4 separate regions of the Mus musculus genome follow, and all the other regions are reported to be linked to region 1. The links are microRNA targets in miRTarBase. Many come from high-throughput screens and were not tested one by one. Region 1 holds a microRNA gene; each other region holds the end of a gene's coding sequence.

Region 1 (3,149 bases):
TAGGGCCCTGGCCTCCAAGCCCGGGTCCGCAGTCAGTCCAGAACAAGGAGACCAGAGCGCGTTTTGAATTCCAACATTCCGGCGGGATCCTTGGGTGGCTTTTCCAAACGTTCTTCACCTGCCAGCCTCCGCCCACCCAGACTAAGGAGGACCCAGTAGAAAATAGCTTGCACTGAAGCCCAGGTAAAGGGAGGAGGAGTTTATTTTATGTTTCACTCATAGGTTTTGCAGGGTTTCCAAGGAAGACTAGAGAATTTTATGGAGAAAGGTGGTTAATTCCATAGTCAGTATCAAAGATGGGCTGGATTTCAAGTTGCCATTAAAGAAAGCTAGCCCTTCCCTCTCTAGGCCTTCTGCTGATCTGGAGAGTAACCCTACCCTGGTTCTCCAAAGGGTATGTTACTTCTGTCCGCAGGTCCCAACCTTCATAGACCTCAGGGTCTGCGCTCCTAGAAGGAAAAGGGGAAGAGAAAGAACACCCTCAGGGAGAAGTTTGGCCTCTAGGCCTCCACCTCCTCTTCACTCTCTGGATCGCGTCTAGGACTTTTGAGTTTGGGTTAGAGTGGCGCTCCAGGGGACCAAGAGGCACCTTCTCCCTCCACCCCAGTGCCCAGGTGCTGCAGGGAGGGCTGGGAGACCGACAAGCATCGGAAAGGGAGTCTCCCACCTTCTCAGAGGCCCGTCTCCGCGGAGGCCAGATCACCGACAATTTTCCATCTCCCCTGCTCGCTGTGGGGGAAGGAACACTCAGCCGCGACTGCCCCTCCTCTTGCCAGCTGGAGGATGGCCGCACCCCTTATATACATACAGGTGTGCACCCCTCTTCCCCATGAAGGCCTCCACCCAGTTCTGAGGACCCAGGAACAGGAATGAGGCAAACTCAATGTAGAGAGGCACCCGAGTACTACAGAGGACCCGAGAACGCCAGAAGTCAAGGTTCCAAGGTCTGATGGATGTGGGGATCCTCACTCCAGGAGTGGGAGTGAAGAAAAGAAGGTGAACCCCCAGGAGAATAGTTAAGGGTCTGCAAGCCTACAGATGAATGATCACTGGAGGTGGAGACAGCTGGAGCTCTAGGGCCCAGGGGGACCGCTTACGGGTGAGGCTCGGCGCTGGCTCCTGGACCTCGGCGTCGCCGTAGATGCTGCGCCGCTGCAACTGCAGCTCCCGCTCGCGCTCGCGCACTCGTCGCACCTCCTGCTCCAGCAGTGACGGGGCAACGAGCGGTGGCAACTGCCCCAGTACCGGACAGCCGTCCTGAACGGCGGGGTGCAGCCGGCCTCCGGTCTCTGGCTGCCTCTGCAAGCCAGCGCCGTCCTCCGCCGCAGCCTCAAAGAAGCGCTTGAGTTCGTCCAGCGGCTGCGGCCGCCGCCGGGCGCTAGGCTCCGGAACCGCGGGGCTCGCCAGCGCCGCCTGCCTGTGAGCCTCGCGTTCGATGTCCCGTTGCATCTTCGCGCCCGCCCGAGCGCGCTCCAGGGCGCGCGGCAGCGGAGTACCGGAGCCGGGCCGACTGAGCACCGGCCGCACGCGCAACTCAATGAGTTCCTCGCCCGCGCGACCGGGACTCAGACCCCGGCTCCGGCGCAGGCTTTCCTCCCGCTCGCAGCTGCGGCGGATTTCGCGCTGGATGGGCGTCTCCATCTGCAATTCCGCCGGCGCCGGTTTGGATGCCGCGGGCTTCGGTAGAAAACACACCTGGAGGCCTCTGAGCCGAGACAGGGGCACAACTGCCCCAGTACCTCCGTTATACTAGTGCCAGGCGGCCCAGCTGTGGACCGCCCGGGCGCTCGGTCCGGTGCTCAACTGGCACCTGCGGGACCTGGCTCTCTGGCTCCAGAGTCTGCAAGTGCTCCTCTCCAGAGGTTTCCAGGACCTCACTGCCTCCCCCAGCAGCCCTCGGTGCCCTGGCTCTGCGGCTCCCGGAACACGTAGCCTTCAGGCGACCCCAGGACTCCACTCTCGGACACCCGAGGACATGGATGTTTGGAGTTAGGCGCCCTTTGAAAATTTTAGTTCTCAGAGCCGAATTGAGATGCCCAAATAGGTAGGACACGGTGCCCTGTGCAGTACCTGTAGTTACAGCCGCCGCCCGAGGTTCATAGGCGTCGCCAGCACTCTTCTTTGACCCGCCTCTGGCCTCCAGGAACATCCCCTGGGGGCAGGACTGGGCACCGCCCCCGTCACCTGCCAGCTGGATTCGAGTGGCCCTGGACCCGCCCTATGGGCCAGGGCGCCTCCACTGCTCTCCGGATTCCCGCCACCTGAACACACGGGTTGACTGAAGGGGTGGCTTCTTCGGAAAGGGCTTCCCTGAACTCACTACCCAGGGGGTATGTGTCGCCCTTTCCCTCTGGTACCACGCTGGCATTCTGGGGTCTTTTTTTTTTTTTTTTTTTTTTTTCATCACTTTCCGGAGACCTGACCTCTAGCGGAGCGCCGCGCTGATCGCTGAACCACGGCCTCCTTACAGAGTGTTTCCCCGGTCGTCTTTCGCTGACCTCACTAGTCTAGGTCAGCAAGTGCCAGCCTGCGGCCAGCGACACCACTCTCCTTCCCCCCGCCCCCTATCCCGTGATCTCCGGGCCTTCTCTGCACACTGATCGCTGAGGCAACACAGCTCGAGTCCAGCCCGAGGGTCGCCCGGGGCCGCCGCACTGGGTGCTGCTGCTACCCGGGGCTGCTCAGCTCTGTCTGGTTTGCAGCGGCGCTGCCGCCACTCAAAACCCTGGGGCAGATTCCCCACCCCCACCTTCCAGAAAAGCCCGCAAGGCATTGGCAGCCAAGTGTCCAGCTAGAATGAGCGGTGTTTGAGGGCACAGACATTACAGGACTTCCGGGCCTCAGCCGAGCAATTGTGGCTGGAAGGCGGTCAGCTTGGACCAGTTTGCCCAGGAGGCCCAAGATGGGGCAGAGGAGCCACCGGGTTAGCGGGAGGCAGTAGCGACCTTTGTCTGGTGCCCGATCTGTGTTTCGGGACAGGGTCGATGACCCAGAGTGAGGGCTAACCACTCGTAGAGACATTTCCACTCGCCCTTGTGGAACCCGGCTTTCACAAAAACCGGCCCACCCTGTGTTCTATAGTAACCTAGAAGAAAGAATTGCCTAAAGAAAATGGAAAGATTAAATGGGATTAAGAGAGTGGTGGCACA
Region 2 (3,149 bases), not on the chromosome of region 1:
CAGTTTGTAGCATAAAAAAAGGCTCTTGAATATTCTTCAGTTTGACAGTGTTAAGAAAAACTTGTTCCATTACTTTTTCTTAAAGAATTTGGAATTTTTACTCCGCTCTTGTCTCACAATTAAAGATAAAAGAAACTTAACCAACTAAAGAGCAAATGTTCTTCTTAAAACCACTCTTGTAATAGAAAAGATAAATGTGTATTATATTTTATTTATATTTATGTAATTTCTGTTATATAAAATTATATTTATACACTATATTAAAATAGAAGAAATATTTCTGGATCATTAAACTCTGATGACTATGTTTGACATGGAATCATACAGTAATAAGCTTGATTTAGTGAACTTGCAGCATCCTAGCCTGAAGCCTGGCACTCTCAGTCTCAGGGCTGTAGTTGACTGAGCTGGTTACTTTAGGTAATATAACTAGATACCTTGTGACAGTCAGATAACATTATAATCGTGATGTTTTATGGTAATGTTTCTAAAAATAATTATAAAATGTATTGTTGCTTATTTTGCAGAAATATTATGGCTCTTCGAAATCATTTACTTTCAAGTACACCTGCTACAGATTATTTTCTGCAACAGAAAGACTACTTCGTCATTTTCCTTCTGATTTTGCTTCAAGTCATAATAAACTTTATATTTAAGTAGAAGTTCTCAACATTGAATCCATGAACAAGAAAGATTAGATGTGATCTGGGACCATTGTTCAAATTGGCTTGCTCTTTATTAAAGCATCACAACAAACAAAACTAGGAGATAAATGTAGAAATGTCTACCTACTTTTCACATCTTTTATCCTTAACCCAAAACAAGAGCTACTGTGTTTGGTTACTACAATGGGCTGTGTGTTAAGTGCCAGAACACTTGTATGAGACTGTGCCTACACGTGAGTATCGTAGACCCACGTGTGTATAAAGAGCTCTTCCCTGACAGCAGTTCCTGTGTTCTACAGTGTGCTGTGACGTATTCTGATACCAGTGTTCATAACAAAGATGCCGTCACTCCTATAAATACATCTAGGGTCAACTATTGTCTTCAGAAGACCGGCATATAACTTTCATTAGGGAATTACAGTGGGAAAATGGTAGATAATAGACATATTATGAGTAATGTCAATACATTATACTGTTAAAACCATCTCCAAGTTACCTAGTTCAGTTAGTCTTCTTAGATACACCAAGAAAAAATACGTGAGTGATCAGAATTAATATATTGTAAGGGACAAGTAGAAAATTTTTAAGAGTTTACACAAGATTTTCTAACCCCTAGCATTTAATGTTACAGATATAGGTGAATACATAGTTATGTGTGTGTGTATATATATATATCTCACTATTAAAGACTGGTAAGCAGCTACATGGATCTATATGTTACAATCCCAACTTAAGCACTTGCTGAAAAGGAACGGTCAGAGGTGTTTAAGTAGGTTATGTGAAATCCTGATGATTCGGTGTTTTCTTTATGAAAAACTTTTTAGCTTTCATTTAGACACAAGAGTACTCAAGGAGTAAATAGAAGAGAAAAATGTAATATCTTACTTCAAAAGTCAAAAAAGGTGGTAAGAACAGATTGCAGTGGCCTTTAAAACATTAAAATAAAATTGCTTAAATGTGCAATAAGTTGAGCATTGGAGAATGTCAAGTTATGAAGTTTGTCATCTCCTCCCATCATCCTGTGGCAAGCCAGTTCTGTACAAGTCTTTCTGCTCTGCTCAGGCAGATTTGTTCCTAAGAGGTTTTGCCTATTTATTCAGTTTAATAATTGTGTTTTTACATAAATATTTATTATTATCAAAAACACTTCTTTAAAAGGTAGTTAAGTTTTGAAACATCATAAAATGTAGATTGTTCAAACTACAGGTTTTAGAAGGGTTTGTTGAGTGACAACTAAGAAAGAGCTGCTGTTGGCTGCATCGGCCTTCAGCTGAGAAGAGATTGAGCTACAAGGAAAGCTAACTCTGCTGTGAGAGGACAGCTGCAGTGCTCACACTGAAAGCCTCTTCTGATGAATACAGGTGTCCTTATGTTCCTATGAACAGCCTTTTACAGTGTGGTGTTAGCAAAACAATGCTGTATTTCATATGAAAATATTTTAAACTTTTAACAGCATAAGCAAGATGTACCTGTATCCAGTATTTCATTATGGAGTTTTGGGTTATATTTCATATTTGTCAATATATTGTTTGTATTCATATTCTACTACCAATATTATGCTCAACTGCCTATTCATTGATGTGATATTTTGTAAATATTGTACAATTTGATCTTTATATGATTTTAAATTACTATTAATTTATATTATATATAACTTGATTGGTTGATCACGAAAAGTCTTTTCATTGTTAAACCCTGTAATGTAAAATTGTTGGTGACATGCCTTAGAGCTCTTTCTAAATCCTTTGTGTTGTTTGTGATCTGAACAGTGCTTTATTTGTGTTGATATCCACGACTGGAAAGGTAATTGTTGGGTTTTTTTTTTTAATTTCACTTTAGAGCTTATGTTAATGGATCCTTACCCAAGGAGTCAGAAACTAATGAACAGGGTGACTGTTTCTTATACACTAAAAGCTTATGTTCAATCAAATGCTTTTCTGATGCTTTTCGTTGTATGAGTTTCTTTCTGTGAACTGAACACAAAACTCAGGAATTGGAGGATTCATATGTAAGTCCTTTAAACAACATATAATTGAACTTGAGTTTAGCCAGTGTGTGACAGACCTCGAACAATCTGATCTAAGGGTTAACTTTCTTCATAAATGGATTCATAATGTATATGTGACAAACTGTTCCAAACTTGCTGAAAACTCATTGTGATTTCTAGGGTTTCTGACTATGACCAGTTTTGTTTGTTTTGTTTTTCATCTATCCAAAACTTCATTTTCTCACATAAAAATTTAGATAACCACAATTATTGACACAGTTGTTAAATGTCTTTAGTTTTCTGCCATTTAGTGAGATATTGCTGGCTAAGACAAGACAATAACAGGCATGTGTGGTGTTAGTGTGCTGCAGCAATCGATTTAACTTGTAATTCCTACCACTTCTGTCTCTAGTATGACTTGGAAAGCGGCAGTGGTCATCTTTGTCACAGCTCAGTTGACAGCTGCATTCCCTTAAAAAGTTGGCCTTGTGAGATAC
Region 3 (3,149 bases), not on the chromosome of region 1:
TTTCTTTTTTTTTTTTTTTTTTGGTATAGGAGAAGTAGGGGTGAATAAGGGGAAGGGAAAAACCATGAAAGTGGAAAGGAAGTGGTAATTTGGGGGTAACATTTGAACCCCAGACTAACAGTGACACCCTCATCCCATGTGGGGTGCTGTAATGAAAGCAGCTCGGAGGTCGCTAGTTGTGTGAGGGCGAGATGTGCAGGTTCTGTGTCTGCCTCCCCGTGGGCTCATAATCTCTCCTTCCCTTCATTTCTAGGTGCAGAGGTCAATGCTTCTCCTCTCTGGAACCTGGCTCACGTGAAAATGGAACCTCAAGAAAGTGAAGAAGGCAATGTGTCTGCGCATGGGGTGCTGGGCAGTGATGTCTTTGAGGAGCCAATGTCAGGCATGAGTGAGGCTGGACTCCCTCAGAGCCCTGACGACTCAGACAGCAGCTATGGTTCCCACTCCACTGACAGCCTCATGGGGTCCTCCCCTGTGTTCAATCAGCGCTGCAGGAAGAGGATGAGGAAGATTTAACTGCAGAGCGCCAGCAGGAAGCCCATGAGTAGTAATTAGACTGTATTCTTAAGTGTAGACCTTTGCTAATGTCAGAGACAGTTCCTAACCTAGTAACAGTTCACTTTGCGTCGTTTCTGTACTTCTTTAAAACAACTAAGCCACCGTTCGCAGCTGAGTTGTGATACTGACCTGGTAATCAGACCAAAGTACTGTCCCGGCTGGTTTTATCTCAGCTCCTCTCAGCCGTGTCTCTGGCACGCTTGAGAGGAGTCATGCCACTTTGATGCTCCTTGCAGAGGTGGGACACTGAGGTGCTTTGCTTAAATTTCAAAGCTTGCATATATTCATGTAAATATATGCAATATATGACGTCTATAATAGACGTCAGCAATTCATTCGTCTATTTTGTGTCGTCATTGGGAACCCAGTAGCAAGACAGACAGTAACAGCTAAACTTAAGTCCATCAGTCAGAGTTCAAACTATTCATGCTACTCAGGCCTCTTACAAAGTGAGAGCCGTGGGGACAGCTGTTACCCTTATGCAGCTGTCCCCAGAGTTCTTTCTTTTCTAGATTATTCCAGCCAGCCTCGTCATTTTTACTTTCCATATGCTCTTGTGCTGACCCAGACTTTTTTTTTTTTCGAGGCAGGGTTTCTCTGTGTAGCCCTGGCTGTCCTGGAACTCACTTTGTAGACCAGGCTGGCCTTGAACTCAGAAATCTGCCTGCCTCTGCCTCCCGAGTGCTGGGATTAAAGGCATGTGCCACCCACGCCTGACTTTTGACCCAGACTTTTAAGTATCTTTCACCATGCACACGCTTTCACCTTTTCTCCTTGTGAAGGTGGCAAACAGGGCCCACCACAGCTGCCGGGTACGCAGCATCTGGCTTTGCTTCAGAACAGCTGTTGGTTTGTTTCAGGTGTTTGTTTTGGTTGTTTTGTTTAAAAAGACATTTGAGGATCCAGAGAGATGGGTCAGTGGGTAAAGTCACTTGCAATTTAAGTTTGATACCGGGGACACACATGGTGTAAGGAGAGAACCAACTCCTCCATCATGACACACACACACACACACACACACACATAAAAATAAATTATTTTTGGAAAAAGTCATCTGAGTTATTCCAATTCTTTTTTAAAGATTCTTTGACCATTCCATATGCATGCATAGTTTTTCCCTTCCCCCAAGCACAGCTTCCTCCTTTCATGTCTTGTGTGTGTGATCCAAGGTTCATCAGAGTTGCCTCAAGCTGAGAGGGAACTCACTTCCTGAGCAAGGACAACCTAGCAGCAGCACTCACACTCTCCTTCACAACCACTGCTTACCACCCCTTCAGAGGGGCGCCGCCTCAAAGGTACCCTCCTCACAATGACACCTTGACAGGTCTTATACAGATGCATACAGATAAGCACAGCTGCAGTTAATGAGTGCTGCATCAGATCCGGAGGACATCTTTCTGCTTTCTATCTCCCTTCCAGCTCCCTATCCTCGTGTTCTTACTTTCCACCCCTCTCACTTGACATTCTCTGGTTGTAGGAGGGGTGGAAAGTAAGGGCCATACAGATCTGTCAGCCCTTCACCATCACGTCCTCTGCTCTCTGGCCAGTTACTGGTTAACTGATGCCCACTGCAATCAGCTGCCAAGGCTAAGCACAGCACCTATCTCAGCACAGGCTGAGCACAGCAACTATCTCAGATGGCACACGAGATGACAAAGGATGGCCATGCTCCCTTCCTCCATGACAAACCAAGGTTTGTGGTGAGCTCTCCTCAGAGTGTTTGAGGTTTGTTATATGTGTGTGTGCTCGTGCATGGTGTGTGTGGCCTGTATAGCGAGGCCAGAGACAACTGCTGTGTGCAGTCAGTTCTCTCGTTCAACCTTTACATGGGCGCCAGGGGTGGAAGGCATGACGTCAGGTTTTCATAGCAAGAGCCTTTAACCCACCAAACCATCTTGCCATCACAACTTAACAGTTTTCAAAGACAGTCACATCATGTACTCTAGACTAACCTATAGTCCTACCTCCTAAAGAAGTTACAGCTTAATTTTAAAATAGGATTTTTGATATTAATCTTTTTTAAGGCCTATTTATTTTATATATATGAGTACACTGTAGCTGTCTTCAGACACAGCAGATCCATTACAGATGGTTGTGAGCCACCATGTGGTTGCTGGGAATTGGAACTCAGGACCTCTGGAAGAGCAGTCTGTGCTCTTAACCACTAAGCCATCTCTCCAGCCCCTCAAATTAATCTTTAACACTCTTAAATCTATCCTGTTTTAATCTTGTGGTAGTTTGAAACTGGACCAAGGCTCATCTGGAATGGAGGTGTGGCCTTGCTAGAGTAGTCATGGTTTTGTTGGAGAAGGCCAGGCTTTGAGGTCTCATATGCTCAAGCCAGGTCTAGTGTCTCAGTTCTTTCCCTGCTACAAAGATGTAGAATTCTCAGCTACTCCAGCACCATGTCTGTTTTAAGAGTTGCTGAGGTGGTCATGGTTTCTCTCGACACGGAAATAGAAACCCAATAAGGCAGATCACATCTTCATTTTCATAAAGTGGCCAAGATGCAGTTAGTACACTGAATTCACTTAGGAAACAATCATTAAGCACCTCCATATTGTAGTATGTGTCCTCCGTTTCTCCCTCTC
Region 4 (3,149 bases), not on the chromosome of region 1:
AGGCTGTGTGCTAAATATGCTCATTACATTTGTATAAGTAAATCTTAGGGGTGACTTTGCCAAAGAAGACTCAAACAAGTAATGAGTGATTTTCAATGTAACCTTCCATTTGTGGAATTAAATGTAATGAAGTATCTCTTGCTAAATGGTATTTTTAAAGCCCTTTCCCCAACTCTCCCCTCTGAAGTGGAGTGTTGGAGGATGAAGAATGGAGGCTGATTTCTGTGGGGAGATATTTAATACTGACCTTCAGGATGTTGTTAGTAGATACTTGGGGGGCCGGGGGAGGTAGTATAGCCTCTCCCGTTGTAAATCAGGGAAAGCAGGAGAGAGGAAAGCAGAGCTGTTTGTTGAGATGACCCCGTAACACCTGTGTTGTGTTCAGACCTGAGTCTGCTCTGTATGTTCCCCATCCCCCTTTTACTGACTTTAAAGACCTAAACCTAAAACTTTGAGCAGCATTTCCTCAGTTACTGTAGCTTGGTAGTGATCACATCACAGCATATTGGCCCGATGTCCTTCATCAGTTAAGGTTTCTTTCCATAATTTGTTACTTTGATTTTATGAATTTGCATCTTAGATTGTAAATTACATTGTATTCTTTATAGAAGTTAAGCTTGCAATGTAAGGTAGATTTCTTGATACTGGCTGACTGTTGTCATCTCTTACAGGTTTGTGTCTTAGACCTTCGGAAATAGCGTTACTAGTTGGAAGCCATGGACCGACTATGAATGTGTACATAGCCACAAGACTATCCCTGACCCATATACTGCTATAGTCCCACTTGAACCATGGCCAGTCCACTACAGCCAAATCTAAGAGAAATATATACATGCAGTATATATGAACACAGCTGTACCCTGAAGATGACAGTCTCATCCCAGCTTGTGAATTCTGCTCACCAAGTGCTGGGATCTAACCTGCTGTGCCCCTAAGTAGCGTTTAGAAGTTTGGATATGAAAACCAGAAGAGAAGGAATATGCGTTATAAGAGCAAACCACACATGTCCCAGTTTTGAATATTAATGACAGCCTTGTTTCCCCCTTTGAATCAGCAGACACATGGATTATATTCTTTTTCCCCTCAGTAGTGCGCAGTTTGTATGTACAGAGAACATGGACTTAACAAAAGCTTGCGGCAGTAGTTGGTTCTTGCTTCCAAGTTTGTTTTGGTTTAGATTATGGATGCATGAAGTAAGGGAGTGAATCATTATCTTGCTTTTTTTTCTCACCTTTTAAACAACAAAAAAATTCTTAAAAATATTTTACTGCATTCTTTGGAAGAGGTAGATGTTTGGTACATCTGATGGCTCCCAGAGCATATAACTCAATAGGTGCATATTATGGAGGGAATTGGAATAATAGGAAACTACATGACTTCCGTCATGTCACTCTCTAAGACACATCAGCAAAGGGTGTTATGTTATCTTTGTTTTGGGTTTCTGGGTTTTTTGTTTTAGTTCTTTGTGTGTGTGTGTGTGTGTGTGAGAGAGAGAGAGAGGGGTGGGGAGGAGAGAGAGCGCTTAAAATAGTTTCTTTTTGGGGACATATTTCTGCCAATTAAAGACTAGAAGGGCACAACTTTTTTTTTTTTTTAATACCATAAAGAAGAGTTTGGTTTTTTTTTTTCTAAATAATAATCTTCTGATGTTTTGTAGCCATAACTAAATTATGGTTAAAAATGTGCACTATTGTGAGAAGGAGCAACATAGTTTGGGGCTTTTATTTTATTATTTTTATTTTTTATTTTACCATTTGTCTGTTTTACTTTGTTTCTTAAGAGATTAAAATATTTCTGGATAAGGATTAGCTTCTCAAAGTGTCCATCATTCTGTATAGAAGCTTAAATATGTAATGTAACCAGATTCCAGTATTAAAAAATCTCTCATGTTAGTTTTCTTTTTACAAAGCAAGGTTACAGCAGCATATAACACTGCCATTACATGGCTAAATGTTTGCTACCTTAGTTTTGAAAACAGTTTTTAAAGGCTTGCTTTGAGCTATGTTTGGGTAGCAGTGATGGGGAAATTAGGAGAGGTGTGGCTGGAGCTATCCCTCTGCCTGCATATACGGCGCCAAAGCTGCACTTAAGCATTGTAGATCTAAGCTGCTGTTTTGTTTCCACTATAATCACTACTATATCATGTTTTTTACTCTTGTTTATATCAAGTATTTTTTTTTTAAAGATATAGGTATCCAATCAGATTCTTTTTTTTTGGTTTTTTTTTGAGACAGGGTTTCTCTGTATAGTTCTGGCTATCCTGGAACTCACTTTGTAGACCAGGCTGTCCTCGAACTCAGAAATCCGCCTGCCTCTGCCTCCCGAGGGCTGGGATTAAAGGTGTGCGCCACCACGGCCGGCTTCAATCAGACTCTTTATGTTCAGCTAAAAGTAAAATATACCTACAAAGGTTCACCAGAGGCTGTGTTTGTGAAGGTGGTTGACAGGATAGTCGATATTAATGGAAGAACCCAGGAGTGTAGGTTCTGAAGAGAAAGAACAGTTGTCAAATTTATATCTTTAAATTTTTAATTAAGAAATTGCTTAGCAAATTTATAACACTATGTGTGTCAGTAGTTATTTTGAGGCCTTTGGCTCCTGAATCCCACCCTGTGTTCTACGAAACTGCTCTAACCCAGCCCCGCAGCTTTGCTGCTCTGTTTTTGCTGCCTTGTTCTTTACAAAGCAGCGTTGATTGACGCCAGTCTTGGCTTCATTAAGGTAGGGTGGCATTTGCTTTTGGTAAAGAGGATGGATACACTTACATTTTACCATACATCGTTATATCTACCCCATTTTGTTAGTGGGGTCTATGATACTGTAATATTAAGAGTTGCATCCAGAGAGGCAGTCGTCTATGGTTTGTGCCAGGTGTTTTCAGGGTTCTATCACATTGAGACATTTAGAACCCATTGCTCTGTGGCTCTGTAGGAATTCTAAAATGCTGAGTGTCTGCCACTTGAGATTTTGCTTTTACTGCAAGAGGGTCACATCTGTTGGCCTCTGTTGTTGTTTAAAAAAATAATAATAAAAATAAAAAAACTGTGCAATAATTTTTAAACGTGCTCCCAAGAATAGACACAAACTTTTTGAGTATGCCTAAGCTGCATTTCCTTCAGCGATGCATTTGTCAATTGCACTGAATCTGA

The links. Region 1 holds the annotated microRNA mmu-miR-1199-5p (UCUGAGUCCCGGUCGCGCGG, at 1,551-1,570, opposite strand). A microRNA usually pairs through its seed, bases 2 to 8, with sites in the 3' UTR of a target mRNA and lowers its output. Matches are read on the target gene's strand: a 7mer-m8 pairs with bases 2 to 8, a 7mer-A1 pairs with bases 2 to 7 and ends in A, and an 8mer does both.
Region 2: miRTarBase lists Osbpl8 as a target of mmu-miR-1199-5p. The part of its 3' UTR that is shown has no 7-base or 8-base seed match.
Region 3: the mRNA of Supt7l is a reported target of mmu-miR-1199-5p. Seed matches in the 3' UTR shown: 7mer-A1 at 1,209-1,215.
Region 4: the mRNA of Tbl1xr1 is a reported target of mmu-miR-1199-5p. Seed matches in the 3' UTR shown: 7mer-A1 at 2,295-2,301.

The regions. Positions count from the first base shown.
Region 1 is chr8:84,010,044-84,013,192 of GRCm38, forward strand. Mir1199 (microRNA 1199) reads right to left here and starts at 1,590; the gene lies at 1,472-1,590. Misp3 (MISP family member 3) reads right to left here and starts at 1,677. Exons shown (of 3, transcript NM_001291292.1): 1 at 1,098-1,677; 2 at 668-729; 3 at 185-449. The coding sequence starts at 1,641. The coding sequence ends at 435.
Region 2 is chr10:111,292,565-111,295,713 of GRCm38, forward strand. It overlaps Osbpl8 (oxysterol binding protein-like 8), which reads left to right. Exons shown (of 24, transcript NM_175489.3): 24 at 528-3,149. The coding sequence ends at 660. Among named protein-coding and RNA genes, the nearest start is that of Bbs10, 4.5 kb to the right of the region's middle.
Region 3 is chr5:31,513,031-31,516,179 of GRCm38, reverse strand. Supt7l (SPT7-like, STAGA complex gamma subunit) reads left to right here. Exons shown (of 5, transcript NM_028150.2): 5 at 254-1,611. The coding sequence ends at 516. Among named protein-coding and RNA genes, the nearest start is that of Supt7l, 12 kb to the left of the region's middle.
Region 4 is chr3:22,209,730-22,212,878 of GRCm38, forward strand. Tbl1xr1 (transducin (beta)-like 1X-linked receptor 1) reads left to right here. Exons shown (of 16, transcript NM_030732.3): 16 at 672-3,149. The coding sequence ends at 698. Among named protein-coding and RNA genes, the nearest start is that of Tbl1xr1, 130 kb to the left of the region's middle.